Lonchura striata: one gene and its partners. The main gene of each other region encodes a partner of the protein of the gene in region 3 in a complex. Links are inferred from orthologs where the notes say so. Each region holds a gene or a part of one and is shown on either strand. Other genes may lie near its edges. The genes, in order: COA1, ACAD9, NDUFAF1 and TMEM186.

Region 1 (7,725 bases), on a different chromosome or scaffold from region 3:
GCTGCTATTACTGCTGTGCAGTTGTTAAAAAAACCACCACTGCACCACAGCAGATGAAAGGATTCTGTCACTTATGACATTCTAATACCAGGAAGGACCCTCATAACATGCTAAAAGACAAACAATAAAATACCTGGTGATGCTTTTTCAAATTGCTCGCAACAGGCTCACAGCCTGAACTATGCTGAACTGATAACTTGAAATTTTACTAACATGTTCCAATATTCTTGTGTATCAGGTTGCTTTTCAGAAGTATACTCTCAAGAACTTTCTATTCCTTACAATATGCTGAGCAGAAAAAAGTAAAACTGCATTTTCAAAGGGTTAGCTCCCACACTAGCCTGATGGTCATGTAACTGCTCCTCCCAGAATCTGAGACATAACATAGTCCTTTTCTGTATCCTCCTCAGTTACGCAAAATCACAGCTCAAAACTGTAGACTTAGTCACTAACATCAGCACAGAGAAATAGAAAAATCCAGCCAGTGCCTTTCTTTCCCCCTCTACCCTCCCACTTGCTTGTATATGCAAGATTTTCAAGGTAGGTGTTCACACACTTCACTTGTTGACTTGTGTTTTAGTTGGACAAGCAGGGAGATCTACACATAAAAGTTGTCCAAAGCCTAGAGCCTCCTCCTAATTCCCAGAACCACAAGCTAGGCTGCTACCAAACCATCCTCAGAGCTGCTCTGAGGGCTGTGCTGCAGCCTGGGTAAGGCAGCACAGGCACATGGAGCAAAAGCTGCTGTGCAACAGCAATGCTCACGCAGGGGGAGCTGGGCTGCTTAACAGACAAGATGCAGTCAGGAGTGCTGTCTAAAGATACAGAAGAAAGGCCAAGTGCCCTAACAGCCACACTGCTTAGGGAGGGTGTGAATGGGCCCATCTCTTTGTGTGAGCTCCAACTCTCAAGGTGTCTTAAGTGTAGTGAAAACAACCCCCAGCATCAGCTCTTCTTCCTGCTTGATCTTATATTGTGGTCACAGCAGCAAAGGTAAGGATGTTATTTTGCTCCTCTGGCATTGAGTCAAAACCCAGAAGTTTGTATTAGAAAAGTGGCCTGGAAAATACTGTGTTAACAGACACTCAAAGCCTCTGACTTCTGGGGAATAACCAGCTTTGAAGTAAAATACATTCAGCAATAATCCATGCACACTTCATTAATTTCAGAAATGCAACAGCGAAGCACTACTTAGAAAAAGCTGTAAGATACTAATGAAGGCTTTGGGGTTTATTTTTATTTTTAATCCCAAAAGCTCCTTATCTCCCTTCTCCATGTTTTTTCATTCAATTTACAGTAGTCTAAGTTAAAGCTCATCTAATAAAAAAATGACACATTAAGTTCGGCTAACCTCTTCATCCCCCTCTTGATAAGAATACTTTCTTCCTTGGGGAATAAATGCAACAACTTTACAATTGGTACATTGCTTGTTTAAGATAACTTTCCTTTGCACTTTGTGTTTAATGGAATTTGGCTGATCTGGGCTATTTCAGCAGTTAAATAATTGAGACAGCAAGGGCAGCAATTTTTGCCAAGTCTTGAATAGCACAAGGATCTCAAGGAAGAAAGGCAGCATTTTGTTATCTTTCAACATGCAGTCATCTTTCTCTACCACACCCCCAGTCAAGTTTGAGAACCCTTGACACGGGCCACTGCATGATATGAAACACCGGTTTACTGTTCAAATTTGAGTCAAAGCTTAGACTAAAAACAAAGAGTAGCTGCAGTTTAACACTGGATTTAAGTACAGGTCTGAGGAGTTGCTGCTGGAATGGAGGTGTTCATGCCACTTATCCCGTCCTGCTGCTGGGCTGTGCAGCTGCAGTGCTAGCCATGTCTAGAAAGCATTGATAACACTGGAACAACCAACTTTCAAAAAGCCAGCTGATCCCTAAGCCGGATGCAAGAGGTACAGCACGATGTACAGCTGTGCGGTGGAACAGGGCCACCTTGCTGCCGCAGCCCTCTATTACTCCAGCCTTTGAATCTCTACTAGGAATTTTTGAAATTTGTTTCAACACTTCAATTCATAAAAAAATGTCTCTAAAAGCAACCCAGACCACTCTTCGAGTTACATGCTCTCTTCTTGCACTTAGAGTTCATGTGAATGAGCAGAAAGAAACCAACTAGGCTGGAAAACGGGAGCAACCAGCGTCCCCGATAAGAAGGGACAGGGGAAATGATATTTGCTTCAGTGATCAGAGCAGACTTGAACAGGGAAGTTCCAATCTTTATAGAGAAACATAATAATCTCTTTCCTTTGCAGTGTTTGAACATTAGACCTGTTCAAGACAACCCAACTGCTTCACCAGCTGTACCTGAATAACAAAGTAAATCTGATTCCTCACTACGTGGATGAGTCACTGCAAACAACTTGCTTTATGTGGAAATCGCCCTACCCTCGCCACATTTCTCCGGGATGTGCTCCAGTCAGCGAGTTCCCCACAATACAGGGCACCGCGTGCCTGTGCCTGTTTAAGCAACAAGAGATCTTTCCTGCCGCAGCTCTGATTGCTCTCTGCGTATCAGGTTTTCTTTGTAGCTTCCTAGACAAATTTGCCTCGCACTCCTCTCCCGACGGCGGCTGAGAAGTATCTTAAGTACACGCACCACTAACAGGGCCGAGGGGAAGCGTGCCGAGGCTCTCGGGGCAGTGAGCGAGCCCCGCCCGCCTCACGGCACTGCCGCCCCCACCGCGGCCGCGCCGCTCCGCGCCCCGGTCCGGCCCCGCCGCTCCCGCAGCCGCCGCGGAGCTGCCGTGGCCGGGACTCCCCCGGTACCAACCCCCTCCCGCGCCTCTTTCCGCCCCCCGGGGCCCTTCTGCGCCGGCCCGAGCCCGCCGGGAGGGGCGGCGAGGCTCGCTCGGGTGCGGCGGTGCGGACGGGAGCGGCGGCCGGGACGCCCTGGCCGAGCCCCGGCCTCGGCCGCCCGCCCTCACTCACGGCAGCGCGGTCGCGTCGGGCTCAGGCGGGCGCCGTGGGGGCCGCCATGGCTGCGGCGCCGGCGGGGAGCGGCAGGGGGCGATGGCGGGAGGCGCTGCGAATGGCGGAGAGGAGGGGACGGTGGCAGGGCAGCGCCTGACTCGGAAAGATCCCGACCACACCTGAGCTTGCTGCCCAGATCTACTCTCTTCTGTGGTGATTTATTATTCCTTTATTTATTCTTTTTTCAGGACAAGGAACACCATAAAACCACTCTTGTGCAGTCAAAATTGAAAAAACCCAACAGTGTCTGTCCAGCAACCCCTAAAGAAAGTTCTGAATGTAATCTGGCCATCTCATTTCACACAGTGATATTAGCATTTAATTTAACCACTGCTGTCTTTATCACATTGTTCTGTGTAAGCTGTTGTCCCTGTTGCAGTTTATTTAAACAAGCTGTCCAACAATGTCCCAAAGCTCAGCACTTCGGCTCTGGTGTTTGTCAAGTGTGTGTGTGTTAGCAGTGCTGGATTACATGAACCTAAGCCTTGGCCCACGGCTTTGATTCATCTGAAATTAAATGATGAGTGCATCAATGACATCAGAGTGTGTTCTGCTGCTGTTCCTTAGTGCATCCTACCTGCTTTGATATTTATTGTATGCGTTCCCTGCCTGAGGTGAGTAAGGCATTATGTTCGGGGATATTGCAAAGCCAGTTTGTTCTGTAACCTAAGCAGTTTCCAGCTACTTATTTACACCTGTTGCATTACTGCGGTGATTTAGTGGAATACAGTCTGCTATTTCAGATTGTAAATTAAAACTGTTTCTTCCCACGGCACGCTTCTAGCAGTTTCCAGTCAACTTCTACAATCAGGATTTGGTTACATTATTGCATTGCTTTGTTGTTCCTAACAAAAAAATTAAAAAGTGAGAGGTTTCTATACAAGAGATGAATTGATTAATTCAGATGTTTAATTGATTCAATTAATTAATTCAAAAAATTGAAAAATGGGAAGGTTCTATATTGTAGCAGAATTGATTAATATAACTCCTTGCTAGGACTTGTAATACTAAAGAAATTGTGAAAGGCGAGAGTAGGCAGAAACAGTATGGAAAGACAATCAGCAGAACAAAAGGACATGCAGATATGACCAAAAGAGAGACAATGAGATAGAGAGAACAAAAAAAGGAGTGAAAGGCCCAGCCTCTTACACTCCTAAGAAGCCCTGTTAAGAGATTGTTTTCTATGCAAAGTTACAGCGTTTTTTAATTCTTTCTCTCATCCTACCTTTTCCTACATATCTAATTACTCTCTGAAAAAAAATCTATTTCATACATGTCAGACCTGAAGAAAGATTTTAGGCCAGAAACTTGTCCTCCGTTCTCAGCTGTGCCTGTGTTGGCCTACCTACCCCTGCTGTCCCTTTTTCCCGGTAATTTTGCAAGAACCAAAGCTGTGCAATACCCGTCCAACACTGGTGAAGCTTTATCGGTTCTGAAAGGTGCTTATTATTCATAGAGATCCCCTCTGCTATTTCCACATGGAAGGAGAGACATAAGAGAGACATAAGAGACGGCCAGCATAAGACACCAGTATTACTATGGCCATGCAGGGAGGGCTATTGGTTGTTGCTTCTTGCTGGGCTGGCACTTTCCTCTGCACACTTGTCAGCACCCTAGGGGCCCAAGGCAGGCTGGCCACGCTTCTCACAGCCACCAAAGACTCTGGCCCCAGAGCAGTTTGCCCCTCAGGGTGGCCCGGGGCTGGCTGCCTGTCCCCGGCCAGCTGCGCCTGGGCCGCTGCCTCAGCCGTGAGGGATGCAGAGCCGCGAGAGCCCGTGGCTCTCTGCTGGGCCGCACAGCTGAGCTCCCAGCTCCAGCTGGCAGGGCCTCAGCGCCCAGCCTGTGCCCTCCCGCCCCGACGGCCATGCCAGGCCCTGCTTGCTGCCCTGATGGTGGCACTCCCGGCCCCCAGCGCTCTCCAAGGGCTTCTCCTGGGGCACCTTCCTGCAGCCTCTCAGAGCCTGCACAAAACCCAGCAGAGGCCTGCGCTAGGGCTGCTTACAAGGGCCTGGAGGGACAGCACCAGGGGCAGCGGCTTCCCACTGACAGAGGGCAGGGTTAGGCTGGAGATGTGCAAGAAAGTGTGCCTCTGAGGCTGGTGACAACCTGGGCCACGCTGCCCATGGAAGCTGAGGCTGCCCAGTCCCTGGCAGTGTTCCAGGTCAGGTTGCATGGGGCTTGCTGCAATGTGGCCTGGTGCTGCAAGGTGTCCCTGCCCTTGGCAGCAGGCTTGCAACAAGACAATGTCTAGGGGCCCTTCCAAGCGGAGCCATGCTGTGATTCTGGGATCAGAGGGGGGTCAGGGGCACGTGGCCTTAATTGCTGATTAGAACCAATTCAGCACTGTTAGTTTGGTTGAGTTCGCAGAGACTGTTCACAAGCCCAGATTCCCATCGGGTGACTTTTACCAATACTATAGGTGTGGCTGAGAGCAAGAAAGTCTCGCATGCTCCAGATTCTGCAAAACTGCCTTTTATTGAAACAAGAGCACAGCAGATCCTTGCTTGCTCGTCATGCATGCGCTAACTATGGAGCATTACTACGCATCCAAACAGATCTATTAAATACTCAATTTATATTATTCCACTGTCATATTCGTCATGATGATTTTTTCATTCTATAACATTCCACATATTTGATAAACATTTAATTCTAAACATATTGTATAAAATTACTGTTTTGTAGTAAATACAATATGTGTGTGTATAATACATATTGTATACATATAACTGTACTATCAAAATCTTGCCTCCGAAAAATTCAGTAACTACAGAGTATGAATATGTGTCACAAGAGCCACAAATGACTCTGACATAATAGTGACATCATATACTTGCTATTTCTTTTTATAAAATAATATGATAATTTTAAAGATATTGTATTAAATTACTGTTTTGTAGTAAATACAATATGAGTATGTATAATACATATTTTATAAATATATCTGCATCATCAAAATCTCGCCTCTGATAAATGCAGTAACCACAGAGGATTAATATGTGTCACAACAGCCACAAATAACTGTGGCATAATAGTGACATCCTATACTTGCTATTTCTTTTTTTAAGATAACATGATCATTTCTGAATTATCGCTATAATATGTATCTATTAAAACACATCTGTTAGTAAAAATATTTGTATCAATATATACACACTATAGGTATATAGACAGATATCTATCTGTCTATGCATCCCATTCATTCCTGTCTTTGTCATGGAGCTACAAGCTGGTTCTCTGCCACCAGCTGCAAGCCCCGCGAGCACACGCATCCAAAGGAGGCCAGCAAGGCTGGTGAAGGCTTGGGAGCACAAGCGCTGTGAGGAACAGAGCTGGAGTTGTTTAGCCTGGAGAAATGGAGACTCAGAGACAACCTTGTCACTCCCTCCAACTACGGGAAAGGTGGTTGTAGTCAGGTGGGGGTTGGTGTCTCTCTCCAGGCAGCAAGTGACAGAACAAGAGGACACAGTCTTTAGCTGTGCCAAGGGAAATTTAGGTTGGACGTTAGGAAAAATATTCTTACTGGAAGAGTGGTAAAGTACTGGAATCGTTTGCCTGGGGGAACTGGTGGAGTCACCATGCCTGGATGTGTTTAAAAAAAGGTTGGATATGGCACGCAGGGTCATGGTAATAGCTAAGGTAGTGTTAGGCCATGGGTTGGACTCGATGGTCTTAAATGTCCCTTCCAACCTAGTGATTCTGTGATTCTCTAATGCTGTGATTCTACGTGCCCCGCTAGCAGCGGCCAGAGGCCGGCACTCTTGCCAGGCGACGGCACAGATCAAGGCCTAGGGGTGGGCAGCCAGATCCTGTGGCAGGCCGTGGAACAGGTTGGATGGCCTAGCCCTTTGTGTATCTGGGGGCAAGCGGAACTCCTCCGGAAGCCTCTGGCTGCCCACTGTAAAAGGCTCCAGGGGTTTGCCTTCCAGAGATAAGTGCAGCTGCTCCAGAGCATCCGACAGCTGCAGCAGGAAATGTCTCCTGTGCCTCTGCGACGCCGGTACGGTGCTCAGCAGGCGCGTGACATTGGTCTTGATGGAAGGGATGGAAAGGGCCTTGCGCGCAAGAACACGGGCAAGGAGCTGCAGGCATTTAAGGTGTGAGTCGTCCTGGGGAGCCGGCCTGGCCATGCGCCTCAAGAACTTTGTCTCTGCCACGCTGTAGGTCTCGGGCCACGTTGTGCTTGGGGTGTGGGCCCCTCGATGCTGGCTGCTGATAAAGATGTCTGAGGCGTGTTGCTGCACCCCAAACAGCACCTTAACCTGGAAGCTTTCTTGGCTGTTGCTCAGCCTGAGCTTGCAAGAGCGTTTGGAGGGCAGCAGCTCTAAACGCCAACTGCGTGACTGGGGCAAAAGCCGCCAGTTTTCTTCCACCAGCGCGCAGAACCACTGGACAGTTTTCTCCACGTCGAGGTAGGAGCCGGTGCACAGCGTGTCTAGGAGGTTGGGCTGACGAGTCCTCCTCCTAATCACGTCAGGGTGGTGCTGGAAGCACAGCATGTTCGTGCCCTGGTAATCCCTGGGGCAGCTGCACTCCAGCTCCACAAGGACACGGAAATTCCTGCCAGGCTTCTGCTGGTCGGTGTCACGCTCCAGGTGGAAGATGTGGCCTTGGGGAGGAGTCAGGGGCACAAACACCCGGTACACAACTTCCTCCTCACGGGCGGCCCAACCTTCAAAGGCACTGCCAAAACCAATGGCTTGTTGCAGCACCGGGTAGAAAGTCCCATTCAAGGCACGCC
Region 2 (7,335 bases), on a different chromosome or scaffold from region 3:
AGGTGGGATTTTTGCATCTTGATCGATTTTCTTTGAGTCCACTACAAATGCAGAATTTTTTCTCATTTAACACGGTGTTTCTCAGTGCCCAGAGCAGCTGGGAGACTGCATGATTCCCCCAGCAGGGCTAAGGTCACTCATGAGACTTCTCATCCCCAGCTTCACAAGAAGTTCTTCTTTCTAGCTTCAGCATGACCCTCCTGTTTGTCCTCATGACATAATCAGGAGAAAGACTTGGAAGTGGGAAAAATCCAGCATTTATTTCATTTTCTCAAACATTTCTACTATTTCCGCAGGTTAGCAGATTCTAAGACGGGAATAAGCAAAGCATTTCCAAGATTTTCTATCTGAACCAAGTCTAGGTCATGAATACAAGGGGAAAAAAAGGACATAAATGAGGTAATGAGAAAGTTTTGTTCTTAGGAGTTTTTAGATTCTTGGGGGATTAAGAGAGCTGTTCTGTACCATGGCAGTGAAAACAAACAGGAATCATATTTTCTCCAGACTCCATAATTTGACCCTTTTATTCCTCTCCTAAACATCAGGCTGTTTACTCCATAAATCATGTTCCCCCACAGAGCAAAGAATTAAAAAATGTAATTTTAATAAATGTTTTATTTAATGTCAGTGAGCAACATTACAATTTTCCAGTTAAAATCACCTGGATCTCACAAATTGTCATGTGTGACAGTCACTGGCTTCTCCAAACTCCTACACTGTTTGGAAAACCTCTGTCAATGGGAAGTCTGAGACAATGCTGTTTAACTGCCCCAGAAATTGCTGTCTGTGAAAACCAGGATTCTGCAATTGCTCTGGAATTGGTTCATCCATGGCAGCACTAATGGAAGGAACACCCTGCAACGCTCTCTGGAATGCAGATGGGTAGTAAGGCCTTTCCCAAATAGAATTATTACTCTAATGCTGAAAAAACAGAAATGCTTTTCATTTTTTGTAACTCCTCAATTTCTGAGTCTCTCTGCTGCATTTTGTCACAGTCAGTTTTAGCAGAGTAGGACAGTTAAGAAGTTCTAGGAACTAGAATTAGGAAAAAGAAATCACAATATATGAAATGGTTAGAGGCATAATTCAGCTGAGCTAAAACTGATTTCAAATCCTATCTTTATCCCAGAATTCTTTTACATTCTTGGTTTTTTTTCCTGTTTTGGAGATTTAATTCTTCTGATCAGCACCCAAATACTTCCCAAAAAAGCCATAAATGGACATCCTACAAAATCAGCATCACTAAGTGGACAGCAATAAATGCATAAACTAAATTAGATGTTTTAGGTATAATAATCGTATTCAACTGCTACAGCCAAATAATTTTCTAATTATTAAATCACTTGCATGGATAAAACCATAACAATATACCTTCTTCATTGAAGAACTTTTCAACAGGTCCCACAAACTGGTTGATTTCTGCCAGTTCTTCATTGGTAATTTCTGGGTAAGGAAAAACTTCTTCCTAAAATAGGGTAATTATTTAATAATTTTTAATACATGAACTATGCAGTTGAAATAAAAACTACAAGAGACATGCCTTGCAAAGACTCTAAAACACTGTGAAAATTAAGAATTGTGGAAAATGTTCTGAAACAGAAACAGAGCTCCCCAGGACCCAACTTTATTACACATCAAAACCAGACCAGAGTGTGTTACCTGAACAACAGAAACATGAGGGAGAAATCAAGAGATCTTGTAAGAACTACAAGGATGCAAAAATCCCTCATCACCCCTGAGCTTTGTCAGTGTAACCCTATTTATGGATTGATAAAAAATCAGTTTAATTTGTCTCAAAAACAATGAGCTGTGCTAATGTTTCCAAAGCTCAGCCCATGAACACTGTCCCCTGCAAACACCCAGCACATTTCACCTGTTAATGCCTCGAGGACAAAGGTGAGTGAGCCCCACCACTCCTTATCATCCCCAGGGTGTTCTGGCCATGAACTGGGAGCAGCATGGCCTGGCAGGTTTGAATTGGTAAAAAATCCAAGCAAGGAACACAAGGAGTGGAAGGCTATGTGAGAAGCACACTTCTGGTTTTTACTGCCTTTGTCCTTTTAAACAGAATAATTTATCTCTGACCACACAAATCTGTCCAAGGTACTCTGAGCAATAATATCAGCATCAAAAATTCAGGAACTGGGAAATGCCAGAGATTTTCAGAAAGCTGCTGTGTTGAAATTTGAGAAAAAAACGCCCAGACTTATCTGAAGAGTGTTTTAACACAGTGGAGCCTATGTGCTGCCTGTTGTAACACTTTACCTGACAAGCTCTGTTGCAGGAGAATTTATTGTTCAACTCATTTCAGTGCATTTTAGTTATTCCTTCTTTCAGTTTACTTCACCCTGCAATCTCTGGTAAACGCACACTCTAAGCCTTACAATAACAAACTGCTTAATACAGCATTCTGTCTCAGATTTTAACTTCTTTGTCATCTCAAGACACCACACGCATTTCAATCTTTCCTGTCAAAACCGTAGGCAGAGATTTACGTGAGGCCTGGATGCTTGAAGCACACCCAGAGAAGGAAGCGCTCCAGGTTTCGCGGCCCGCCCGGGGCGGTGCCCAGCGACCCGCGGGTGTCCGGGGCACCTGCGGGGCGGGCGGGCGGCACTCGGAGCACACCGCCTGTTGGTGTGCAAAGGGTCCCTGCGGCTCGCCCGGCTCCAGCTGAGGGGCAGGGCACGCACAGAGACGCCTCCTGTCCCCCCCGTGCCAGGGCAGGGAGCTCTGGAGGCAGCGGGCCGGGCTGGCCCCCGGGGCTGCGGGACAGCCGGCCCAGGCCGGGCCTGCCGCGGGCCCACACCGTCCCCGGGCCGGGATGAGCAGCGGGGAGAGGCCCTGGCGGTGCTGCTGCGACGCCCCCGGCCAGCCCGGCCCCACCGCGCCCTCCCCGCTGCCCGCCGGCCCCACCTTGCGCAGGGTGCCCAGGAACAGCTCCTTGGCGAAGGCGCGGCGCGGCGCGGCCGTGCGCAGCCCGCGGGCGGCGGGGCCGGCCCGGGCCCGGGGCCGGGCGGCGCGCAGGGCCCGCAGCAGCCGCAGCGCCGCGCTCATGGCCGCGCTCGCCGCCCCGGAGGCACCGCCCCGCGCCCGGCCCTCAGCGGGCGGTGCTCGGCTCGCGGGGGCGGGGACGGGCACGCCCGCCGGGGCTCGCACCGCCCGGCCCGCGGCGGGCTCGGCGCCACGGCCCCGCAGCGCCCCCGGGCGGCGCCTCCCTCGCCGGCACCGCGGGCGCGGCAGCGGCGCCGCTCGCGGCTCCTCCGCCCGGCCCGGCCCGGCCCGGCCCGGCCCGGCCCGGCAGCCCTGCCGAGCCGCGCGGCCCCAGCGGGAAGCAGCTCTTGGTGCAGCCAGGGTGCCTTTGGATCGCCTTCCTGAAGCGAGAGCAGCGGCGTGGCCAGGCGGGAGCAGCTCCACAGGCAGGGGTCGCTGCGTCCCCGCCTGGAGCTGCGGGACGCGCTGAGCTGCGAACGGAGCGCTTGGACATCGCCCCAAAATCTCCTAAATCCCAGCCCAAGTCCTCCTGCTCCGTGTGTCAGGAGCTGGAGCAGGATGGTGTGGGCAGCTCCAGCCGGCCCCTGAGCGGCCCCGCATTCCTGCAGCCCTTTCCACACATTAATGTCAAAGACTTACCTGCTGCCCTGCACCGAGCATCCCCTTTCCTCCTTGCGTTCCCTGCCATCCCTCTGGCAGCAGGTTTTGTCTTTTTAAAAAACCCAGGTGCCAAACCCGTGTTAAATGACTGATGCTCACTGAAATCTGGTTGAGAAGCACTCACTGCTCCCCTTCTGTTCGAGAGATCACGTTTGTCAGGTTTGTGCCACCCCACAGCTGCTGCCTCACCTGCAGGTGGCTGGGACTGCTCACCGGCACACAAGGGCTTTCTGCGTGCTAAGCTTAATTTACTCAAAGGTAGAAAATTTATTTGAACTATTTATTTCACAAGAAATAAGCCATTTAAAGGTTGCTGCTGCATTTTCATTTTAGGCATCTCCATGTCCACCTGCCTTCAGTCTGTTTTGGTCTGTGTGGAACTGCAGAATGTGACAAAATGGCATTTGCAAAAAGAACAAGTAAACACAGTGTGGTAGATAGGGACAGGCGAATGGAAGATTTCGGGATGTGACGGAAAGAGAGACCCTTCCCCCTCATCCTGTGATATGTAATCCATTACCCCCAAGACACGTAACCCCACCTAACGCAGTAGTTTTCCACTCCTTACTAATCCTAGAGACCCTACCTTCTTCCCTTGATGTAGCAAAGTCCCCCTTGACTATTTAACCTCACAGGATAAGGTAATAGCGCCATTTGACCATCCACCACGTTGGTGTCTGTGCATGTCTGTGGCCCGAGTGGCCCGGGTGAGGCCAGGCTGCCGTGCTGTCCCCTGAAACGAGGTCACCTTGCCTTTTCATCTGAAGGCAACAACACAGGCTTAATGAACTTACTTATTTTGCTTCTTTACTTATGACTCACAAAACGAAAATCGTTTAATCTTGTAACCCAAATAAATTGCGATGTTGGTTGCCTCTTGACTGTACTGCAAGTAGGGAATAAGAAGGGCTGAGAGTGAGGCATCAGGAAAAATAAGGATGTGCTCAGCTGTGGTTAAGGGACATTATCCTGCTTCTTTTCATTCTGAAGGGTGGAAAAGCAAGAGGTGATGTCTAATCCTACCAGGAAACAATGGGCGGGGAACGCTGAGCCAGGTGCAGCACTTCGCAATCTTTGGGGTGAAGGATGAGGTGCCAGTGCTTCCAGAGGGTATCCACAGGTGGTTGATGGTATGAATAGAAGGGGAAAAGCTTCAGCCTTGTGACACGTGGGGTTAATGGGGCAGAGCCACACGATGTCCCTCTGAGGGGACCTGGGTGGCACCAGTGCTACATCCCAGCTCTGGGCAGGAGAGATAAAAAATTATTTTAAAAAGAGTTTTTTTATCTTCCTGGGGGGGTCAAGAGAGGTGCAAGTCCCACAGCACCTCCCAGACAGCATCAGTGATGAAAGGGCTAAACTGAGGCCACCCTCTCCTGAGACAAGTCAGGCAAATCCTGGTGATGTAGGGGTGATGTGGTAGCTTGAAAGAAAGGATAAACAGAGCATGGTAAAAACTGCTTGAAGAAAATGATCCAAACAGTGAAAACAAGGCCGGGCAGCTGGGAAGCAGAGGGAAAAGATGCCTCATCAGGAAGCTGACAAGAACTGAGGCAGTGGCCACACCCTGTGTGTTCACTCAGCAAGCATGAGGATGGCATTGTGAGCGTATCCTAAATAAATAAACACCTGGCATTTTCCAGTCACAGGGGGTGATATCACACCCACAGCACAAAACTGCAGGTGGACCATCACTGGCACAGAGAATCCTCTGTTCCTGCGCTAGCACCAGTGGTGCCACACCACAGATTTTGTCCCTTCCAGTGCTGTGTGTAACCACAACTGAAATCACACTCCTGGCAGCTGCAGCTCTCTGCAGAACTCCCCCATCCTGACCTGATACATCTTCAAACTGCCTTGCACAGAGCGGCACCATCTACTGAAAAAGATAAAAATCAGTATTTTTGTCTTCTGCTTCAGCAATACGTCTAGCCTTTTGCTTTCCCTACTTTTATTTATGGCTCCTCTCTGCTGTCTCTGCCACTGAGATATTCATCCAGGTGTTCACATCATTTCAGATTCCCTTCCTGGGCCAGCTAATCCCTCAGCTGTTACAGCTCCTCATAACTCACATTTTGTGAACAACCACAACTCCCACAGTGATGTCCATTTCAGCCCATTTCACAAAGAAGTGGAAGAATTCCTTCCTGAGAAGGAATTAATGCAAGAGAGGTAAAGATCAGTAAATGACTACAATAAAATTACGCTTCAGTTTACCTTTTTATTCTTCCATATTTTTCCAGCAGCTGCTTAAAAAACTGTTATTCAATAATAAATTGACCTGGCAACATTTAGCTCTTTTTTTACTGAAAAAATGTCACTAAATTATTTTACAAAAACATTCACCAGGCTTTGCAGCACTTCCAGAAAAATACACAAAATTCCTCCTCTCTTTATGCAATCACTGTTTGCTCCTGTTCAACCTGACAGATGGTATGAAAGTTTTGCACTTGACACTGATAATCGTCTTTCCCACAGGCGTGTGATGATGTGCTCATTGCATCACCTCCTGACTTGGAGTACTTTTTTATAAAGCTGGTTAACAAATGAAATCCCAGGAAAGGTGAGGGCAGGAACTGGTATTTCCACTTTTGCTCCTGGTTACATGCTGTGGAAGTGATGTGATGTGTTTGAAACCCAGGTGTTAACGCAGTCGCTGCATAAATACATCAATAAATTTCTCCAGTCTGTTGTCCATCCACACTGACTGGACTGTGGCCATCTAAGAAACCACCTGAAAAATAAATATACATTCTGTTAGTGAGAGGGATTCCTCACAACGTCATGTGGCACTTACAGGGAAACTGTCCATCAGCTCTGCCATGGTAGATTAAAAGGAAGCACTAAATTGCCTCATGTTTTGAAGTATTTTACATTTTATTTCACATTATAATTTTTTTTAAAAGCCAAGAGTTAATTTTTCAAGCAAGGGAAAATGGGCCAAACCATTTATTGAAATCAAGTTTCTGGCTCAGTGAGGGGAGATAACCTGAGCTCAGTGCAGGAAAGAAGCTGTTCCTGTGGGATTGCATCCAAGGAGCTGCAGAGCAACCTGGAGAGTGCTGCCTTTGTGTCACACACAGGTGACAGCGATGAGTGAGGGGACAAGGCTGTGGCTATAAAAAGACCTTGCAGTAACTGGATAAAGCACATCTTGGCACTATTAATGAATACAGAAGGGAGATGGGTCAAGAACCTCTTTGCCAAAATAAGCTCTATCACACTGTAATGTTGGAGAGAAGGAAGGAGCTCCCATGAGCTCAAGAACATTTCATTAATAATCATGAGTACAATATTAATTAATTATATTATTTATATTATTTATAGTATTAAATACTTATATTATTAATTTAAATAATTATTTAATTATTAGATCTGGGAAGAGAAACAGATGACCCAAAACACCAGTGCTTTTTCATCAGCTTTTTTCCAAAGTGATTTCAAATTCCTGCAGTCAGAGGAATTGCTCAGGACATGTCCCCTGTGGTTCACTACTAATATATAGAGAGGTTTTTTTGGTTTTGTTTTTTTTTTTTTTTCATGAAGCTATGCTGGCAGTCTGCAAATTTGTGAGTGGTCATGTAATATTGCAACAGCACAGAAAGAAGAAGAGTAGAAACAAAGATCCTCCCCCTTTAGGCACAAAATACACGAACAAATGGTTTTGAAAATTTACAAGAC
Region 3 (7,059 bases):
GCCTTTCTACTTAAATAAAGATGGACTAATATATTCCACTACTTCAGAATTAGGAAGTGAAAGTTTGAGTCACATTTGCACAAGTCAATAGCAGTCCTGAGAATTTAACTTGACTCCACTTGTTGTTCCAGACATCTGATCTAGTGTCACCATTTTAATCAGTGTTCATGTCTCTCATTTACCCATTGATTTTGCTTACTCATATTCTCTGCTCCCGAAGATTCTGGCCCAGAAATTATTCTACCTAAGTACTTGTTCCAAGATACAAACAACACATGAAATATTTAAGGATTTTATCCAGTGTGTGAAAATGCTTTTAAAGGTGCTTAGAAATAAGGGATGAAACAAGCAGTATCCATAATAAGCACACCCATTTCTGGCCCTAATTTGCTCAATTCTGAGCTATCAAAGATTTGTGTCTTGCTTTTTCTGATGTACAGCAGGAGGCAGACCTTTAAAAAGTACATTTCAAAGCATTGTTTTCTGCTCCTGTGAGAAAATGAGTTAATTCACCCTAACCAAGTCTGATGAATAGACCAAATTAAAGCCCAGAAAATTCTTCCTTATGATACATTCAACCAACTTCAAATTTAGAAACATGTCTATTTTAATCATACCAATTTTGGATATAAAGATTCATTCCAGATCCCTCATTTGTAAGGATGCTGCAAACAAGACTGTCTATTGTACATAAGTAAATGATCAAATATGCATTATTCCTAATCTAAGAAAGGAAAACAAAATCCAAGAAAAAATTTAAGTTCCTTCCAGGTCAAAGCGGGCACAGTAGCAATTACATGTCTGAGAGAAAATGCAGTACTCCTGAAAGTGATCAGCAGTAAAGAGCAGGCCACTTGCTGTCACTGGGATTCCACAGACACCCTCAGATTCAGCATCAAAAGCTGTGCAAACAGAGCTGTACTCACCACTGCCGGTCTGGATCTCATACTGCAATATCCACTGTATTGTGTCTCCCCATCACGAGGCACTTCTGTATTGAGGGTTCCATACAGCAGAGCAGCCTGGTTATTCCTGCCCAATTTGATGTAAACTTTACTTTTCCCTCCAATCTCCACATCAGAGGAAATAACCCATTTATTTAAATCTTCTTGGCTCCTAAACTGCCACAACACCCTTGTTTGTTCCAACAAGTGCTGACTTAAAGCATGGCCTCCAGGTCCTTTTAAGTAGTCTTGGGTTTCCTTCTTCAGCAAGCTTAGCTGAGTCTTTAGGTGATCAATGGCCTTCTTAAAGCTGAAATCAGCATTCTGCCAAGACAGTTTTTTCTCAGGCTCTGCCCCTGGCCTCCTGTAGCTGCTGTACAATTTTGAATTGCTGAGGAGAGGTCCAAGTGAAGAGAGCAAAACTTTGGGTCTGCAGCATCCACCGTGGAAGGAAGCACCATTCAGCAGCATCACAGCCAGAGCCATACTGGTAACTTAAAGAATTCACATCCAGTAAGGCAATTAATGGATTGAAAGTTAATTTAACAACAAAACTAGTATTCAGAGCTATCTTATTGTAGTTACTGTTGATCTTCACCTTTAATGAAGAAGAGAAAAGGCTATAAAAAATTACATACAGGATGCTTGTGAAATTATTTAACTTTTATAATCAATACTAGCTAGAAACCCAAGTCATTGGAAAACAGAATGAAAAAAACCATCAGGAATGACACTTCCTCAGAGCTTGAGTTTACTTACTGACTTCCACCCTACGCTCTCCCCTGTCCTCACGGTGTGAAAGCCCCATGCAAGTAAGAAAACCCAAGTAAACTAATTTAAATAAAACTAAAAATAGAAAAGAAAATCAATTTATCCTCATCCTTTCCACCAGTAGGTTTAGGTGTTACAGATAACACCAAAAACAACCCGTGAAGGTTTCTAAAAGATGACATCTATATAACTAAAAAGTTTTATTCCTGCATGAAAATCACAAATTCACAAAAGGCAGACGCTGCTGCCACACAGACAAACACAACAACCTCATCTTAAACAGATGACTTTTCAAATAGTAAGTCCTGCAGCAGCCATACCACATTCTTCTTCCAAGTCATCCTCAATATACCTGTGTTAGGATTATAGAGAGATTTGCAAAGACCAAAAAGTTTAACATGAAAGACTACAATTCAATATGTTTTCTTTTTTAATAAGACTTCAGGAAAACTTTGCTCAATGCTCTGTACAGAGGCTATTTTCTCCTACTTGTAAAATTAGATGGGGGTTTTTTTGTTGTTTTTTTTTCATGCCACAGAACAAAACCAAAAATGATGTCACATGCATTCAACTTATGTGAGCTTTTAAGAATGGAGTCAGGCACCCCACTTGTATCCTCTGTGTGTCACTCACCTTCCTTTACTCACTGTAAAATTTACTACTGTTACCTCACACTCTAATAATTGAGTTTTGCCTAAAGCGACACTGAAGTAGCTTTTAGAATTCCCACTTTAGTAGCTTAGCATTCACTTTATTCTCCGTCGTGCACTTCACGCGATCGGAAGCAAGCTCGCACTTAAGAAGCCCTGTCTCCTCACTGCTTCGCCGAGCACAACAAGAGAACGGAGAACCCGAACACGTTCTGCGCTAGCCCGGCCTTTGTCCCTCGGAAGGCCTTGGCAGTGTACGCCGGTGGCGGCCCGGCAGCGCCGGCGGCTCGCTCGGCTCCCGCGCGGCCCCGCTCGCGCCGCGGCCTGCGCACGGGCCCGGCGGGCGGAGGCGAGGCCAGGCCGGGGCGGCGGCCGAGCCCCCTCCCTGCACAGCGGCCGCCCCGCCGCTCCTGCTCCGCGACCGACAGACCCCGGCACCCGCACCGCCTCACCTTCCCGCCGCCGGGTCCGCCGCGCCCGGGCCGGCCAAGGAACGAGCTGCGCGCCGCTCCGGTTGTGCCGCTCCGGTTGCGCCGCTCCGGTTGTGCCGCTCCGGGTGTGCCGCTCCGGTTGTGCCGCTCCGGTTGTGCCGCTCCGGTTGCGCCGCTCCGGTTGTGCCGGCGCGGCCGCGCCGTGCCCCGCGCGGATCCGCGGGCGCCGCAGCAGCGGCCGCGGGGACAGCGCGCGGCTCCGCCCTCGCCTCGCCCCGCCCCGCGCGCCGCGCATGCGCGGTGCCCTTTGTGTCGGGCGGGCGGGCGGGCGGCGCGGGTCAGGCCGGGCCGGGCCGGGCCGTGCGAGCGCCGCCGCCGCCGCCGCCGCCGGGGCGGGGAGGGGGCACCGCCGGCTCCGCCATGGTGAAGAAGCGGAAAGGCCGCGTCCTTATCGACTCCGACACCGAGGACAGCGGCAGCGAGGAGAACCTGGACCAGGTGCGCGGGCAGGCCCGAACGCGGGGCCTGGGCTCGCCCGCCCGCGCGGGGCTCGGCGCCGCCATCCCTCCGTCGCTCCCGCCCGGTGGTCCCGCGTCGCTCTCGCCCTCCGCAGCCCGATGGGGCCCGCGGCGCCCGGAGGAGAGCCCGCGCCCCTCCGGCGGGTCCCGGCCCGCCCCTGGCAGGAGGCCCGCGCCGCGGGGGCTCCTTGCAGCGGGCCCGGTGCTCGGCGCCGGCGGGACGGCGGGGCCGTGGATGCCCCGGGGCGATGCTCCGGGCGGTCTGGCCCTGAGGAGGGGTTAGCGAGGCCCGGCTGCCGGCGGTCTTCTCACCTCCAGTAGTGGGGAAAGAGGCCCAAAGGGCTGGGCAACTTTTCCATGCTACTTTGGTACGCCGGGAGAACAGCGTGTCAGGTCCCTGCCTCTCCTCGGGGCAGGCAGGCTCCCGGAGTGTTAAATGCGTGTTTAATGCGACCCTCTCAATCTTGGTGACTGCGCTGGGGAGTTCTGTTGATGGGAAACCAGCCTGTAGATGTAAGCAGGGGTAGTATTTATTTGTCATCACAGCATCTCCCGGGATTGTAAGTGCGATGTCTGGTGTGAATTCAAGCGTGTCAGGGTTGCAAAGGGGGTGTCTCCTTCTTTGGAGCGGGCTGCTTTCAAAATTCACTTTTTAATGTAGCAGATATTGATAGTATTATTCCAGTGGTAAATAAAGACATTATAGGTGAAGTGTGTTACAGCTTGTATGGCAGTGTTTGCTCCGGGGAGAAGTTTGGTGGGTCGAATATGCTGAAGCCGACATGTCTGATGTAATTTATGTGTTGGACCCTCAGAGTTTTTGATATAGAAGCTGTTGCTATATTGCAAAAAAAAGCCTTCCCAAACGCACAAAAATACTTTTGCAGATTGGGGCTTCAGAAATATCAGATCTGATACTCCATTAAAACAAATACACAGGAGCTGATGTGGTTGATCTTGCATACCTTTAGAGTCCTTAGTGCTGCCAACATCTCATTGCTAGTGCATCAGTTTGATAGTTTTAGGACTTGAAAATAGGAGTTGGACTAGCTCTAGCATCAGTCAGACAATTGGAGTGATGGTGGCAGGAGTAACCACGTGGTTCTGCATCTGTTCCATCCCTCACTGGCAGCAGGCATCTGCAGCGGTACCTGAGTAGTTGGTGCTTCCTGCTCCACTGGGCTGTTGGTAGAAACTGTGACAGCAGGGAGGTGTGTGTGCAAAGATGAAGATCAGGTAGAGGGAAGTTTTTGAGATGAGAAAATGCTGACTTAAATGTTAAATGTTAAGTAGATTATATGTTTGACAGCTTCCCATGGCAGTCTAGGCTTGTTGAATCGAAGGACTAGCAGCCTCCTAAATATAGTATCTTGGAAAACAGAAAGTAAGTATAGAAAGAAAGAAAGAAAATGGAATATGGCTTTAAAGTGGTGCTCCTCTTCAAGAGCTTCCCAAAGAGAAGCACTGCTGAAGCTTCAGGAGCTTCCAGAGATCTCTTGATTGTACAAATATGCTATATTGATGTTGCAGGGCTTCTTTAGAGGCTTGTTGGTAAAATGCCATTACTAATGAACTAATGAAAAGTGTCTTTGTTGGTAAGTAGGCACACCTACTAGGTCTAGGATTTTGACATACTAGATCTGGACCTACTAGGTAGTCAGTTTCTGCAGTGTTTATGTTCTCATTTGAGATAGTAAATTTTAATCAGTTTGTTGAGATGATCTTTCAGTTGTGAAACTAATGGAAACCAATCCAGCATCAACTTCCCAAGACTGCAGAACTTGGTGTGGCTGTATTTCTACACACAGCTAATACTCATCAGCCCCAGAGTAATGTTTCTAAGAATAGATTCTGTGTCCTGGACTGCAAAGACAGTAACACAGCTTCAAAAATGTTTGTTTTATACTACTGCTTGTGTCACCTGAACAAGTGATGAACAGCAGATGATGAGAGTATTTGAGCCATGTAGTTCTTTGTGTGGGTGCGTGTTGCCTGTGAAAGTGCTTTTGAGCAGAACAACTCTCAAAAAGTTTCACAGACTTGGAGCTTGATCCCTGCTCTGTGTCTGAAAGTTTTAAGTGCTTTCTGAGGTGTGTACCAGCAGTGAAGAGGAATTGAACAGGCTGACTAAATATTACCAACCATGATGTAAAAGTGATGCCTAAAGCATTTCCCCTTTAAAGTGTATAATTGCAGCCATCTCTGTTGTTTAGGAGAAGAAGCTGCTATCTGCTGGTATTTGGCTTTTTAGGGCTGGTGCTTGATGGTGTAGTTAGGGTGATTTTGAATTATTACCCAATCCAAGTAAGACAAATCTGGACATGACTCTGAAAGCAATTTGTCTTATGTTGTTTATGCCAAGAAAGTAATGGTACTAATAGTTATTTTTTTATAGCTTGTTATCTTTTAAATCCTTTTGTAGCATCCAGTATTAAAATTGTGTGTGCACATGTATATTTATGAAATATAAGTAGACTTGTTCCTTAGTTGGTGGCAATAATCTTGCTACTGAGATGTGCTCAGATATTGTGGAGAACCTGCATGTGCACTGACCTGGATTGTTAAAACTAATTGCGACACTTTGAAATAAATCTGTGTGTTTTTGCACCAGGAGCTCCTGTCATTGGCCAAACGGAAACGCAGTGACTCTGAAGAAAAGGAACCACCTGTGAGCAAACCTACAGCATCTTCAGACTCTGAGACATCAGACAGTGATGATGAGGTGACTTTATCATGTTTTCAGTGAGATTGCTATGGGTTGTTTGATCATACCTAAGCAGTGAAAGTGTATTTATCATACAGTATATTTAGGCTGCTGACTTCATAAGGTGGGACTGGCTATAAATGATGGAGACTCATTAAGGCCAGAGAATTTTTTTTAAAAATAAATGTTTTGAATTCTAATTGTATACAAAATAGTCTGTCTATAGAAAAGGTGACTGCCAGTTTAATCTCAGGTTCATATGGTGTGGTGAGCTGCCTGCTTTAAACTAGTGTTTTTCCTGTGTTGTGACTGCTGTTGAAGTAGCAGTGAAGCTGCTAAAGCTGGACTCTGAATTCCGGGAGTGAGGTTTTCACCTTTTGAGTGAAGGTTCCTTCCTAAGAGTTAAGGCAGGTAGTACTATTTTACAGGTAGCAAAACTGTTCTGTTTAGCTACTTTGATTCTTCAAGAACTGTGCTGTGAATTAGCTGTCTGGCCATTTGAATATGCAACAGGGTGTGTTTTGATCAACATCTTTGAAGAAAGAGGCAAGGAAGAGTTCAGCATTACTTTGTTATAAAGTTTCTCAATTTCTTATAAAACAGTGCTTATCTGCTGGTTCTGGTTTTAGTATTTGTTTCTGGTACTACAGTCTAGAGCTGGTTAAAAGCCTGTGCATCTAGAAAAGAAAAATCTAAAAAAATCCTATTAAAACAGGCACTGATAAATGTTATACAGGTATTTGAGTAAAAGCAATTTCTGGAAAGCTTCCAAATATTTTCTCACACTTTCTGCAAATCATAGTCAGGTCATTTATTCAATCTATTCTTAAAAATTTGACAGGGAGATGTTTTGTGTAGGTTTTTGTATTTTTTTCTTCTAAAGTAAGTATGCATTATCCATTGTGGCAACTTGCAGACTCACAGGGTAGGGCAATGATAAACTATAAAGCTTTTGTTAGTGTAGCAGAGTTCTTCCAATAAGTGTGAAGAATAAGTGTGCAGTTTAATTTTCTTTCTGAGGCATTTTTAAAATAAATGTGC
Region 4 (7,162 bases), on a different chromosome or scaffold from region 3:
TCCCAGCTGGAGCAGGTGTCCAAAAGGTATTTACAACATAAAGGAGAGCTGCACTGCAGTTCACTTTTGCCTTAGTGCTTCAGCACTAATGCCAACCATTATTTGCAATTCTGAAAAATAATCAAAGGCAGGAGTGTGGTAATATATTAGAAGAGACGGTGAAAAAGCAAAATGCATAAAAAATTAATTCCCCCTTATTGTATTTTTTTTTTCCTTAAGCTTGCACTTGCTTTTGGATTCTTTCTTTTCTCCCACACAATGCAGGTATAGCTGAAGAACCAAGGGCAACTGGAACAGCACTGAGGGAGTGGTTCTGATCAAAACTGATTCACAGAAACCACTCTGACTAATCCAATGCATCTAATATCCTCCAAAATGAGCAGAATCAGTCACACAACTGACATTAAAGGACAATGAACTGATGACAAGACATGAAGTGCTCTTTGTTGATGGATTTCAATTAAAATGTCCCAATAAAAACCTGAGAGGAAAAAGAGGCTCAGTCTTGCAACCACCCCCAGAGAGACCTGTCAGACAAATGAGATGGGATGTCACAGCCATAAGAGAATATGACTTAAATGAAATTTAAATTGATTGATATTTTAAATGACATTCTTTTAAAGTATTACCTATTGAAAATGTGAGGCCTTTGCCTGCAAATTCTCTTTGTAGATCAGCTACAAATTTCTCTCTTATATGCTCCTTCTGTTAAGGAAAAAAGAAAACAAAACCAAACAACAGTTACATGCTGTAACTGTGTTGATTTACCAATGAAAAGATAACCCAAAACCACCTCTAAAAAAGAATGGTTTTATTGATTTGAATGGACCCAGGCTGGTTACACTATAGAGGAGAAAGTATGGTTTTACCTAGGACAGGGTTTTCTAGAAACCCCATGAAGCAGGATGTTCAGTGCCTGGATATTGGATTAAAAACATGAGCCAAACCCACCCTTCTGCAAGTAATCCCTGCTATTCCAACAAAAAACCTCACACTGTCTATTTCCTGAGGTCTGAATGAGGAAATTAGTTACACCATATGGAAAGGATTTAAATTACAAAAAAAACTTGCACAAATTATAAAAGTTTTTAAAACTGCCTTCTCCAGGAGAGCTGTAACTCACTTTATCAAGTTCATAGAACTCAAGTCGTTCTTCCTGGCTGCAGCTTCTTCCAATGGGGGACACATTCAACATCCCATTTCGGAACTCGATGAAAGTGCCTCTGCAAGGGAATTGATAACAAGACAGAAAATAGATGAGAAAATTTGCTCCAAACACTACATAGCACAATAAATTTCCATTTAATTCTAAAGGCAGTGAGAATCACCTGTCTCACTACTGGTACCTCTGGCACCAGTTAGTCTTTTGAACTTTGAATATGGCAACCTCCTCATCATCCTTACTGGCTTTTAGAAGTCCCATTTGGTTTAACAAGTGTGACTGGAGCATCCCATCAAGCTCAGAGCCTGACAGGCCAGGCTGTCAGTGTGGGTGAAGCTGCAGAATTCACAGCAATGTGGGCAGTGTTCCACCCAGCACATTTCAGTGTCTGCAGCAGCTGCACCTCACACATCACACAGAGCTGGTCTGGCTGCACTTCTCATCTCTGGAAAACACTATGCTGCTGAATTCCAAACATGGCAAGGGAACACTCCTACTTCAAACTGAATCTCCTTCCCTCTAACACAAAAGTGCCAAATTAGTATTTCAAGCCCTGTACTCCAGCTGGGAGCTTGTCTTTGTATGCTTGGACAGAGCTCTGTTTCACACACACAGTGCTGTTTCCCAAGCAGAAATTCCTCTTTTTTTTCTTTTGCTGAGCACCCTGAGCTGAGCTTTATATGCCCTATGGAGAACAGGGTCACGCTGAGATGTCTGTGTGCACATACCTCTTTTTTGGCAGCTTAATCTTTGCAATGTAACTCAGGCAGTAGTTGATGACTTCTTGAAGGATGTCCTCGCCCAGGTGGCCCTGAATGCTCTAACAAAACAAACACCATTCAAACAAGGGTCCAGAATTTGAGATTCTAAAAGCAAGTCACAAGGAAAACACAGACATTGGGTAATCAGGCATGGTTAATACCACAGAAGAACAAACATGCCTTCAAACAGTGACATCAGCTGATGCTCACATGGTACTAACTAAAGGCTCTCATTTTGCTTTTTGTTCACTTTATAACACCAAACTGTCCTTTAATATGATCCTACTTGAACCTGCTTCAGAAGAAAACTGTGCCACGGGCAGCAGCCCTGAACAAAAAGCTGCATTTAATGTCTGTTACAGCCAAGAATGAAGAAAAGGAGCTTGTTCCTGCAGTAAACTGGAACCACTGGTCAAGGCAGCAAATTTAGCCAGGATCTCTTTTAAATGTTTACTCTCCATTACTTATGTTAAACATTACATGCCAAATGAATGATCCATTAACAGGACTAACATATGAAAGCAACAGCAATTTTAGTCTTTGAAAGGGTGATTACAGAGGACTACACTGTACAAATAAATCAAAATCTTGTTTAGAAAATTTCTTTTTCTCACTATTGGAAATTTCACACTTACCTGCTTGCTCAGGAATTTCCCATCTTTGTATGCTACAAGGCCATTTTCTGAGAACACATAGTCATATTTTTCAATCACTGCAAACAAGCAAAAAGACAGTAACTCATCATTTCCCCTCAATGCTTAATGCAGAATTGTCTTAAATGCTAAATTGGTTAAAATACAGCAAACATTAACTCCTAAAGCATGAAAAGTTTCAGCAGCATAGCATCAAGCACAAGATTAATGCTAGTCCCATTCCTCACTATGATCAGCACACACCTCAGATCACGTGAAGTCATTTGTTTGACTTACCTTTGGTTTTACTTAGAGGCATATGACTCTTTACATTAAGTGTAAAGGAATGCCCAAACACGTGGCACATGGCCTGGCTAGAGAGCAAGTCAGATACTGCCCTTTAGGTTTGTTTCCTCAGTGTCACTAATCTTCAGCAAATGTCTGGGAGTTGCGAGTCTCAGCACTACACAAGATGATGATGATATGGTTGACTGGAGACCACTTGGGAGGCAAACGAACTCGGCTGTCTGGGCACTACAGGAGTTATCAGTGGCATCAATTGAGTAAAGAGCATTAAGAATAAAGGACTAAGCTAAGGCAAGAGTGCATCGCTGCATCAGAACCCCGCACTGAACAAAAGCAGGTCCTGAGGGAAGTGCTGACAGCGGACAGCCACGCGTGTATGTCACACACAGGACTCCACTGTACACACAGTGTGAAAATGCCCTCCCAAGGCTGCCAGCGAGGCAGGATTTCACCATCAGCAACAATCCCTTAATTTGATCTACAGACAGCGGTGCAAGCAGGCTGCGATTCCCAAGGGCCGGTTCGCAGCTCCCCACAGCCTGGGTGCACCACAGCAGCACCAGGAGCCAGCTAAGAGCGAGGGAAGAGGGGATGAGGAGCTTCAACCTCCAGCTGCCCTTCACCGCGGCCCGGAGCGCGGCCCTCACCGTCCTCGCCCAGCTGCTCGCGGATCTTGGCCAGGTCCGAGCCGCCCACCACTCCCACCTTCGCCTTCTGCCGCAGCCGCTGCAGGAACGCCGCCATCTCCGCCGAGATTTTCTGCGGTCCAAAACAGAGCGGTCAGCCGTGCCGGAGCCCAGCGCCTCCATCCCGCCACGCCGGCCCACACGCGCTGTGTCCGCGGCGTTCCGAGAGCCAAGCGCGGACACGCCGGGCCCCGCGGAGTGCCGCGGAGTGCCGCGGAGTGCCGCGGAGTGCCGCGGAGTGCCGCGGAGTGCCGCCCGCCCCCCGGGCTCGCAGCGCGGGCCGCACTCGCCTGCCGCGGCGGTGTCAGGGTGCCGTCCACGTCGAACAGGCAGAGCGCGGCGGGCGGCGGCGCCATGGCTGCGCGGGGCCGCGCCTCCCGGCGGGGCCGCGCCTCCCGGCGGGGCCGCGCCTCCCGGCGGGGCCGCGCCTCCCGGCGGGGCCGCGCCTCCCGGCGGGGCCGCGCCTCCCGGCGGGGCCGCGCCTCCCGGCGGGGCCGCGCCTCCCGGCGGGGCCGCGCCTCCCGCCGGGGCCGCGCCTCCCGCCGGGGCCGCGCCTCCCGCCGGGGCCGCGCCTCCCGCCGGGGCCGCGCCTCCCGGCGGGGCCGCGCCTCCCGGCGGGCCGCGCGCGGGGCCATGGCGGCGGTGAGGGCCCGGGCTGCCGGGCGGGCTGGTCCTCCTTCTTCTCCTTCCTTCTCCTCCTTCCCCCTTCTCCTCCTTCCCCCTTCTCCTCCTTCCCCCCTTCCCCCCTTCCCCGTCTCCTTGCCTTTCGCCTTCTCCGTCCCGCTCGGTGACGGCTCCTCGCCCGCGTGCTGCGGCGCGGCGGGGGCAGCGCGGAGCTTCCCCTCCTGCCTTTGCTCTGCAGTCCTGCGCCTTCCCAGCGTCTGCTCCCGCTCTCCCGCACCGTGCTTCATTTTTCTTTCCTGTTCTCCTAAATCTGCGGTTTAAGGGGTTATTTAGGGAGTGGGCGGTTTCAGCAGCTTTCCCTGGGCTGTTGCTCAGACGGCGAGAGGCAGGGGCTGTGCCAGGCTCGCTCGCTGATAGCAGCTGTGTTAGCGAGGATTTCCCTCGGTCTGCAGGGAGGGATGCGGGCACAAAACCAGTTTCCTGTCAGAGCTCTGGTTTAAGGTCACAGTGACCCGGGGGTTTGCTTTACTGGCTTTAGGCGCCCGAGTGACCAGCTCTGAGCTCTCAATTGGGCTTTAAAGAGCACTCAAACGATGACCTGTGGGCATCTTACCTTACAGGCTTGGCTCTGCACTAGGACTAAAGCCTGCACGGCAGCAGCTTTTGGGAGATCTCTACAGAAGGAGCTCTGGACAAGGTCGTGGAGAAGGGAAGCTGCTCGCCGGCCCTGGATTTTTGGTTCGTTGGAGTGTTTGCAGTCACAAACCCAACGAGTTGATGGTGTCAGTAATTATCTCAGGAGACCGCGAGAGCCGCCTGTGTGTCTGTCCCACTCAGCCCCTGCTGCAGTGCTCCAGCAGAAGGCTGTGGATGGGCGGACAGAAGAGTTCAAACTGGTCTACAGGTTCCCAGGGATAAAATACTGCAGGGTCCTGTCAAGACTGAAGCTGCTGCAGACTGCCACCTCCATGGTCATGCTGCCTCCCATCTGCTACCTCTACCTGCAGGGCCAGGTGTCTCAGAATATCCTCCTCTATACAACTGGCATCGCTGTCTTTGCTGGGGCAATGTTGTATGGTATGAGCTACTTTTTCAGAAGAATTATTGGATTCATCTACTTAAGTGAAAGTGGACAAACTGTCAGAGTGGCCCACTTGACATTTTGGGGAAGACGTAATGATATTTACTGTCCCATAGAGACAGTAGTGACTTTGGATGAAGTTGGAGATAGCAAGGACGAGCTACTTCACCAGTTCAAACGGTATAACAGTACAGATACTTTGTATTTTACAATTAAGTATGGCCAGATTGTAGACAGACAGAAATTTACTCAAATATTTGGAGAATTTGTGTGACACAGCACCTCATTTCCACTGACTGTCCATGTTCATTGTGCTTATTGTTTCATGAGGTTTAAGTAGTTTACCAACCTACACATCCCTGTCCTTTTCCTGTGCAAAGCCTGCTGTAAGTACACCCAGTGTAGAAAGTCACAGTGGTAAGGCACAGTCCACTGGATTAAAGGTCTTGCAGCTTGTATATGGTGTGAGGAGTGTCTGTTCCATGTAGGATTCAGTAATGTCACAGCATTCCAAGCCTGGACTGTCCAAATTACTGGAGCTGACCCTGGCTGTTTCATTCTATTGGCCTCTTTGGTGGTTATGAAGCATGAAAAATCTCTTGAAACGAAATGCAGGAGCTGCCAGAGCATCCTCACTTCAAACTCAGTGTTTCTTTTAGCTAATTTCAGGTTGGCTGGGAAGCCTTTGTAAATTAAAGCTGGTCTGGTACATCCATAGGATGGGTACAGCTGAATGTCAGAGAGGGACATGCTCAGGTGTTAATGCCATTGAGAGAACTGGGAAGGTGTGTGGGCTGTCCTGGCCTCAGGAGGGTCCTCCAGGATGGGAGTGGAACTGGGCAAAACAAGGGTGTGGGCTACAAGAGACAGTGGCAGCTCAGCTGGTAAGTTAAAGGCAGGGACAATATTTCAGGAGCCTCTTACAGAAATTGCCATTCTTCATTGGAATGGGAAAAGCAGCACCTGTCTCCATGAAGGACTGTGATTCCATGGTACTGGTATGACTTCTCCTTTTCCAAAACCTCAGTAGAAATGAGGAATTTAAACCCAAGAAAGAACCAAACATATCACCTATAACATGTAACACATTTTTTTGAATTGTCAGAAGCAAGATAACTCCTTACACCCCTCTTCTAGCTTAATTTGAAACTGGCAAATAAACTGACTCTCACCAATAGTCTGGAGTGTTCTTTCCTTATTTTTTCCTCATATGGAGTGAAACCTCTGTTTCTTGGCAGATCAGCAAAGGATCAGTTAAGTAAAATTGCCATTTAAGTGCACAGGGTAACCCTGAATTACTATTTCTAACTTTAACTTTTCCTAGTGGGGTTCTGTGAGTTTAAATTTTGGCTGACACTGTCTAGCACAGCAGTATCAGAAGAAATCCAAATGTTCCTCGGTGTAAACACCATGGCAGCAAAATACAGTGGGCTGTACAGGTATACTGCAGTTTTTGGAGGTTTATCTTCATCAGAATGTATTTAATATATGCACTAATGGTTCAGTTTAGTAGTGGGTGTAAAAGAAAAAGCCCTGGAGAAGATCAATTATAAATATTTTATTTAAGAATATTGATTACACATGATTGATGTCATTTGTTATGAATCTGTGTACAGTTACTAGTTACACCATGAAGTGTACTTAAGTATTTGTTTAAACATTTATTTGGCACTGTCTACAGTATGCTGTAAACAATATTAACTTTATATGCTTCAGCTGTAGTGCTTTCTATGTATTCTCTAACGATTCATCAATATGTTGTACACAATTATACAGTTACTGAGTGTCAGTAAAAATTATAAAAACACCTAGAGTAGTCATAATAAAAGTGAAGATGTGGTAAGACTTCAAATTACTGGACCTTTGCTTCTGTAAAAGTACAAGACTTGCTAGAGACATTCACTAAAACT

Evidence for each region.
Region 1: NDUFAF1 (region 3) and COA1 share a complex: the UniProt entries of both Homo sapiens proteins name them as parts of the mitochondrial complex. The link is inferred for Lonchura striata from reciprocal best matches to the Homo sapiens genes NDUFAF1 and COA1.
Region 2: NDUFAF1 (region 3) and ACAD9 share a complex: the UniProt entries of both Homo sapiens proteins name them as parts of the mitochondrial complex. The link is inferred for Lonchura striata from reciprocal best matches to the Homo sapiens genes NDUFAF1 and ACAD9.
Region 4: NDUFAF1 (region 3) and TMEM186 share a complex: the UniProt entries of both Homo sapiens proteins name them as parts of the mitochondrial complex. The link is inferred for Lonchura striata from reciprocal best matches to the Homo sapiens genes NDUFAF1 and TMEM186.

Annotation. Positions count from the first base shown.
Region 1 is NC_134603.1:105,060,032-105,067,756, forward strand, and holds the start of COA1 (cytochrome c oxidase assembly factor 1 homolog), read right to left. Parts: upstream 3,023-7,725; 5' UTR 2,943-3,022; intron 1-2,942. Other genes in the region: inositol 1,4,5-trisphosphate receptor-interacting protein-like 1, read right to left, coding at 6,773-7,725. UniProt on the Homo sapiens protein: Component of the MITRAC (mitochondrial translation regulation assembly intermediate of cytochrome c oxidase complex) complex, that regulates cytochrome c oxidase assembly.
Region 2 is NC_134614.1:2,420,002-2,427,336, reverse strand, and holds the start of ACAD9 (complex I assembly factor ACAD9, mitochondrial), read right to left. Parts: upstream 3,022-7,335; 5' UTR 2,917-3,021; intron 1,466-2,916; 5' UTR 1,372-1,465; intron 42-1,371; 5' UTR 1-41. UniProt on the Homo sapiens protein: As part of the MCIA complex, primarily participates in the assembly of the mitochondrial complex I and therefore plays a role in oxidative phosphorylation.
Region 3 is NC_134608.1:37,470,794-37,477,852, reverse strand, and holds the start of NDUFAF1 (complex I intermediate-associated protein 30, mitochondrial), read right to left. Parts: upstream 3,017-7,059; 5' UTR 2,818-3,016; intron 1,543-2,817; 5' UTR 1,431-1,542; coding exon 927-1,430; intron 1-926. UniProt on the Homo sapiens protein: As part of the MCIA complex, involved in the assembly of the mitochondrial complex I.
Region 4 is NC_134618.1:6,718,274-6,725,435, reverse strand, and holds TMEM186 (transmembrane protein 186), read left to right. Parts: upstream 1-4,158; 5' UTR 4,159-4,180; coding exon 4,181-4,189; intron 4,190-4,310; coding exon of another isoform or gene 4,311-4,458; exon of another isoform or gene 4,459-4,639; intron 4,640-4,791; coding exon 4,792-5,526; 3' UTR 5,527-7,097; downstream 7,098-7,162. Other genes in the region: PMM2 (phosphomannomutase 2), read right to left, coding at 630-705, 1,124-1,223, 1,891-1,982, 2,559-2,635, 3,567-3,620, 4,311-4,458. UniProt on the Homo sapiens protein: As part of the MCIA complex, required for efficient assembly of the mitochondrial complex I.